2 linked regions of the Caenorhabditis elegans genome follow. The protein of the gene in region 2 purifies or fractionates together with the protein of the main gene of each other region. This does not show direct contact. Each region holds a gene or a part of one and is shown on either strand. Other genes may lie near its edges.

Region 1 (3,416 bases), on a different chromosome or scaffold from region 2:
GTGAACTGATAGCTAGCAACTAGTTTTTCAATTTTAATATCTCGAATAGGTATAATATCTTCCATATCTATCAAACCAAGAAGAACTTCACAACGATTAAAAAGTTGTTCAACGAGTGAGTTGGTATTTGCAAGAATAAGAATAGTTGGTGATGGCGTGGTTGAAATATTGGTAAGCAATGGTCGCTCCCTCAATGCAATTTCAATCGCCGGAATAAGAAACGCATAAGTCTTCCCGATTCCAGTTGGAGCATCCACTAGAAGTCCTCGGCGGTCACGAATAGCTTGAATTGATTTTTGTTGAACTGCATTCAGAATATGAACTTTTATTCGTTGCAAATTGGCGGCAAGTCGGTGATCTTCTATTGCATGTGCAACCATCCTCTCTGTTCCATAATCAGCTGGAGTTTCTACTCCGTCTTGATCCACCATTATCGTGTTCTCCTCACAGTGTTTATTCAATTTGTCAGTTTCAGCTTTTGAAGATGTGACTGCGCCCAACTGCTGATGACGATCTCTCATTGCTGAAGAAAAGTTATTGAAATATTTAATTGCCCAGAACATGGTTTACCAAAATAATAATCTCTAGTTTTAATAGATCTGAAGTTGAGTACATTTGCATACTTTGGAGGAACTAAATCAATGTGCTCAACTTGTACCCGACTATCGTCTAATGCATCGGCAGTGTTCCAAGGATGAGGCATCTACAAAGATTATTACAAAAATGTTTATATTTTGGTTTGAAAATAAATATTTGAACGAAAAGTAACGGTTTTTACGACACAATATTATAAAAGTAGAAATATAAAAAACGTTTGTTTACCCAAAAAAAAATACATGTAACAATTAAGCCAGAATGAAGATGATAACAAATTAGAAAATCATAGAATCAGAATTTAATATTCTTATGTGCTCGGTGTCTCTTTCGACAGGATCGCATAATCCAGACCAGAATCATCGGATGGGCACGTCACGTCGCTGTTGTATCCATGTTTGTGAAAGAAGCCGAGCGACGGTCCATTATACAGAAAAACTGTTGCCATGACTTTACTCATGTTTGTCCTGAAAATAAGAGTTTTTGTTTATTGGCTCTCGAATTAATTGAAACTGTACTTTGAAGAGAGCTTTTCCAGCGTGTCGAGCATCATGCCACCGATTCCTTTGTTCTGATAAGCCGGTACAATTTGAAGTTCCCAACAATATGCCACAGGAATGTTGTGATCGACCACAAATCGATAAGTGGTATAGCCAATTTTATCCCCTTTCGAATTCTTCGCGATGATGAACCTTGATGTTGTTGCACGAAGTTCGTTTCGCTTGGAATTTTCATCGTATCCCCACTGGGATTTGTGATACATATCGTACATGTTCTCTTTGAATAAACTGAACACCCACTCGAAGTCTTCATCACTCAAATGTGTCGCCCACATGTAATCGAATTTGATAGTTTCGCTGAAAATAATAAAGATTAATTTGAAAATCATTCAAAGATCCTACCCATCAGTTGTAGTACTTCTTTGTGTCTCGCATTCGAATTTCTCAACTGGTTTTATGTGCTGACAAGCTTTTTTGACCAATTTTTTCGAGTCTACGGGCATTTTTGGGCCGATATCTGAAAAATTGTTTTACAATTATTGAGAAATAAAACATGATCGATTATACTGGTGACAAATTGATCAATAAAACCGTAAAGAATACTGAAAAGAAAGGATAGAATCATTTGAAAAAAATGCATATAACTTGAATGTCGTATATTGTGGTGAAAAGTGTGCAAACACCATCACGTCAAGTCACGGATTTGCTTTAAATTAACATTTATATGTAAAAATTAGTCTTTATTGATAAAAATATCGTTAAAATGTACAATTTTGTTGATAATCGGAAACAAATTTACATTTCGTATGTTTTAAGTTGTAATATGTCTCCTAGCTAATATTTTCAGGGTCATTCTTCGCTGTATCATCTGAAATTGAATGCTAGTTAGATATTTTCAATTTTTATTATTAGAAATAAAACAGCTATCCAGCATAAAAAACGATGTTTAATAGAAATATACAAAAAGTGTTACGACAGCACGTTCTTAACCATGCGAAAAGTTCAGAAGTCTGAGACCCGAAGAACTCGGGGGATGTCCAATTGGGGGGATTACCAACTCGGGGGATTGGCCCCGCCCACAGAACCGTGGCTTGCAATACGCCCATTTCTGCAACTGCCGCACGGTTTTAAAACTGTATTTTTCTCAATAGAGCGAGAAATAACAAGAAAAAATAATTTTAAAACCGTGCGGCAGTTATGAAAAACCGTGCGGCAGAAATGGGCGTATTGCAAGCCACGGTTCTGTGGGCGGGGCCAATCCCCCGAGTTGGTAATCCCCCCAATTGGACATCCCCCGAGTTCTTCGGGTCTCAAAAAATGGACGAAAATTAAAATTGCTGTCATACTTCAAACTGAAATTCGTTTCGAGAGTCAAGCCCGTAAATCGCCACAAGTTCTACAGTAGCCATTTAAATAATTATTGTAGTTTTCGCTACAAGACATTTTGCGCGTCAAATAGGTTGCGCAATACGTATTCTCAGAATTTAGTGTTCTCGCAATAAGGCGAAGTTAGGAGGCTTCAAAGATTTGGAAAAAGGGAATGTTCCGCCAGAATCTAACACTTTACCAACTTTACAGTCTCGCAGCGACCTGAACTCCACTTTCATAAATATAAATAATTACCCTCTATATTTGGTAGTTTATTTGTTGATTTAGGTTTAATTTCGTTCGATGGATGCATAAATGTAACAAATTTGTGCAATCATGAACTGAAAAAAGCATCGAAACCTACGCGGAAAAACCAGGCCATATTAACAAACGATCAACTGTGCACGTAGTGTCAGAATGTCCCATCTCGGTTTGATCTTCGAAAATTGCGGGAATTTAGACGCAGTCTTCTAAATTGATTTCGCATAGTGAAGAGTGTGCTAACGTCAACAGAGGATCTCCTGCTTATAAATGGTAGTTTTTTTGAATAATAAAATACGCACTAAAAGGTGGGGCTGAAAATGTACTATTTCTGTAACTACGTGAAGCTTCTTGTACCTACTGAAATATTGTTAATATATTCTAAAAGAGCTTAAAATTTACTACAAAGTTTCTGAAAGTCATTTCAAAAAAAATTACTTTGAAGAGATTTATGAATTTTCAAAGTTTGGAAAATCCATCTATTTTTGCCTATTAATGGTAGTTTTCATTAACTAATAAAATACGCACTAAAAGGTAGGGCTGAAAATGTACTATTTCTGTAACTACGTGAAGCTTCTTGTACCTACTGAAATATTGTTAATATATTCTGAAAGAGCTTAAAATTTACTACAAAGTTTCTTAAAGTCATTTCAAAAAAAATTACTTTGAAGAGATTTATGAATTTTCAAAGTT
Region 2 (3,948 bases):
TTTTAAATTCTTTTGTTTTATGTCAAACGGATTAACTGTAGGTTTTGGCAGCCGATCTTTAAGATTCGGTCTTAAAAAGATCATGTGTATCCTATTGCTTTCAGTATCCATTCAATGTAACAAAACTCTTTTAAGGTGGTTTCAACTAGGTTATATCCTGACCAAGGGTGTCAATGTCCCGTAAAAATTTCGAAAACGGGACAACGGGAATTCCCGTTCCCGTGAAAATTTTAAAAACGGGAAAACGGGAATTCCCGTTCCCGTGAAAATTTCAAAAACGGGACAACGGGAATTCCCGTTTTTTTGAAAACACTCAAAAACGGGACAAACTGGGCGGTTTAAAAAAAAAGAGTGCATAGTTGGCGTAAATTTTAGTGTATTCGAGGCAAATTATAAAAAAAACTGCATTATAAACATTTTTATCGATTTTTTCAATATTAAACAGATATTTAAAAAGCCAAAAAATGAGGGAAAATGTCCAGTTCCCGTGAAAATTTTTAAAACGGGACAACGGGAATTCCCGTTCCCGTGAAAACACCCCAAAAACGGGACAACGGGAAAAACGGGAAACGGGAATTGACACCCTTGATCCTGACTGTAATTTCAAAATTTAGATAGTTTCAATTTCACTCTTCTTAGGAAATGTATTGTCTCATAACTGTTTTTAGAAAGTCGGTACCATAAAAAGAGCACTAATCTCTCATTGTTCTCATTTTTCTTGGAAGCTCTGTTCATTTCCTGAGTCGGCTGCCAGTAAAAAAGAAGAGCTCAAGGGCTCAAGTGAGCGTGAGCCGGCAAAAAGCACTAGTCAATAACAGTATCATTAGGATGCCGGATAATTGACATTCAAAGCGGCTTTTCCTGCACTCTCCGGTCTTTTCCTCTAGTGTCGCAGTGCGTTTTACATGAAAATTCAAATAGGGCAGAAACAAAACCATAAAATGTGATCGACGGTTAGCACCCCTCATTCAATCTCATTAGGCCGCAGTTTTATGGATAATCAACTATTGCACTAAATGATATTTGTATTGGAAATTCATTAAACATATGAAATGGGAATTTGAGAAAGTGCAATGCTTCAGAACGACATGTTCTCTCCGTGTTTCTCTAACAGTGAAGCCATCGCTTATTTTACTTATTTTACGATCAGAAGAAATTTTCAATTTCAGCTGATTTTAAAAAATTTGCACACAAAACAAGAACCGGCCACATTTTAGATACTGAAAATATTTCTGAACTCAAGCTCCTGAAAGGCTGCTGTTGGTCTCCAGAATTTTTTTTTACTTTATACACGTTTCAATGGAAAATCCAAGGAAAGTTATAGAAACATGGAAGACATTACTACAGTATTACAGTATTCGCAGAGCGATCGTTCTGGCGCCATGGTACAACAAAGACAATCTGAAAAGTTCAGTCCATCCATGGTAGATGAAAACTTGATTTAGTGATTTTTTTCTTAATTTAAAATCTAGAGTATTTAGCACTCCTGTTTTTATTTTTTATTAACATGGTGACAGAATTGCAATCACATCAATAAATGTAGACTGAAACTTTTTGGTAGATCATAATACAACATTAATTAATTGATTGCAAACTATATATGTTCACATCAATATTCCCACCCTTCGTCTCTCCCCCAACTCAGCCCTCCCTTATTTGGTTGCCCTTCCCGACCCCGCCCACTTTTCCGCGCATTCGTGTTGTGTCTTCCCCTTCGTGATGTGGTGGGTCATTTCTCGTTTTCATTCCTCTTTTTTGAATTTTTTATTTATTTTTCGAGTTTATGGTTGATCATTTAATGTTCTTGCATTTTTCCATAGTTCTTAATCTCCTTTTCTTTATTCTTTTTCGTTCTAGAAAGTCTCTCTTAACGCTGTTTGTATAAAAATTAAACTTAAAATGTACTCTTATTTCCTTTTCCTTTAAAATTTCAAATTAAATTTTTCAACTGTATTTGCAGAATATGACCGCATCCACCTCCTCAACTCCATCTACATCCACCAAAATTCCGTCGTCAAGTAAGTCTTCAGTAACGAAGCAGACGAAGCAAAAGCGTAATGAACGTGAACGAAAACGTGTTGATCAAGTCAATCAGGGATTTGTTCTATTGCAAGAAAGAGTACCAAAAGCTGCTGGAAACAAGGCAAAGTTGTCAAAGGTGAGAGTAGTTTTGTGGTGTTTGGGAGAAAACGTGAAGCAAATTGTAAATTTGATTTGCCTAAAGGAGAAATTTGCGGTTTGATTATAGGGTTTTGATTATGTTTTGTGAAAAATTGAAATATATTATTTAGAAAACCAATTGGCAAAATGTTCTCGTATATAGGCTAATATCAAAGATTATGCAATGTTTTAGAATAAGCTGCCAACTTGATTATTTCATGTAAAATTATTTCAGCCTAGCTTTTTTTCGTTATTTACTAAAAATATTCAGAAGCTCCAGCGCAATGCTTTTTGAAACAAATTGTTCGCACTAATCCTTTCGTGCTTAAAAGACTATAACAAAAATTATTCAGCTCTGTAACTTAGAAAAATGTATATTAGGGTTTCATTTATCAATTAGAAAACCAAAATTAAATATCCAAATCATATTTGCAGTAGAAAATTATGAATAGATTTATTTAAGATTATAATTTATTTCTAAAATTTCAGGTCGAAACCCTTCGTGAAGCCGCCCGTTACATTCAAGAACTGCAGAAGCAACTCGGAATGTCTTCCACAAGTTTCCATAATTCGATGCCAGCTGACTTTCCAACTCCAGAACAGTCTCCCGTATATCCCCAATCTGTTTGCTCAATGATGGCACAGACTCCATCGCCAAGCTACACCTCTCCATACTATCCACCACCACAAATGATGTCCTCTAATCAGCATGATATGTCATCTCACTATTATCAAGAAAGCTCATCATCTTCTGCATCCACTTCTGGTGATCATCATAGCTTTTATTCGCATACAGAAACTTATTAATCTGTTAAGTTGTACCATATTTTCTGTTTTTCTCAAATAATCGGGTGATCCAATTCCTTTACCGTTTCCTATGTGTACTTGATAAGGTTTAATTGAAACAATTTCAGTTGAGTAGGTGCTCAGTATATTTCATTTCAAAAACTCTGATAATAGCCATAAATACTTACTTATTAACTATCTTTGATTGTTTTTTACGTCTAGATTAAATTTGATTTTCATTATTTATTGTACGATAGTTTTTTTGATCTCAAAACAGTTGTTTATCTAAATTATTCTGCTCAATCTGTGCAATAAATATCTTTCACATTTAGTGATACTTTTAACAATTCGAACATTTTGGTAACTAACTGATGGCAACCAAAAAAAGGAAAACTATGACGTTTGACATTTTTTGGTAGAGTGTGGTACCTATCTGCCACCAGCCTACTTGATAATTCGCCAGGAAATCACCATTAAACTCCGAGAAGGTCCATATTCGAATATTGTCTATAGGTTTAAATGTATGATATCTAAAAAAAATATGTATATTTAATAGAGAGGCAGAATTAAAGAAAAAGAATTCCTAGAACATAGGTTTCTTGTGCACCAGCTCCTTGTTTTTGCAAGTTAAAATAATTTCCTTTTTTTTTAATAATTTAAAAACTCTCAAAAGTCTTGAAAAAAGGTTGCCCCAATTTCACATTTTGATAAGATCTTCAATCAGTTAACAAATGTTGTCTTTCAGTATTTCCCATGTCAAAAGTACAGTGACATTTCCGTTCTCATTGTCTATATTAGCCAGGAATACCATTAATATGTTTACTTCATCTTCTGGGAAGACTTCTTTGCACTTCTTTTTTGTTGCATGTCGGGCCTTTTATGCAACGTAATCCCACCCGTTTATTCTTTTGTCTTTTACGGCGGCATCATTGCCCACAATAAAACTGTCTCCATTTACACCCCTTCTTCCTAGACAACTTGACCTTTTTTCTGGGGTTTTCC

The links.
Region 1: the proteins of hlh-3 (region 2) and Y38A10A.7 fractionate together in Caenorhabditis elegans (co-fractionation; one large-scale study listed by BioGRID). This does not show direct contact.

Annotation. Positions count from the first base shown.
Region 1 is NC_003283.11:6,094,392-6,097,807, reverse strand, and holds Y38A10A.7 (N-alpha-acetyltransferase 40), read right to left. Parts: upstream 1,612-3,416; 5' UTR 1,598-1,611; coding exon 1,497-1,597; intron 1,452-1,496; coding exon 1,113-1,451; intron 1,062-1,112; coding exon 905-1,061; 3' UTR 715-904; downstream 1-714. Other genes in the region: smut-1 (Synthetic MUTator), read right to left, coding at 1-523, 571-703.
Region 2 is NC_003280.10:9,084,648-9,088,595, forward strand, and holds hlh-3 (Helix-loop-helix protein 3), read left to right. Parts: upstream 1-1,960; 5' UTR 1,961-1,963; coding exon 1,964-2,158; intron 2,159-2,649; coding exon 2,650-2,967; 3' UTR 2,968-3,261; downstream 3,262-3,948. UniProt on the Caenorhabditis elegans protein: Probable transcriptional regulator. May mediate transcriptional activation by binding to the E-box motif 5'-CANNTG-3'. Plays a role in the differentiation of the hermaphrodite-specific motor neurons (HSN) that are required for normal egg laying.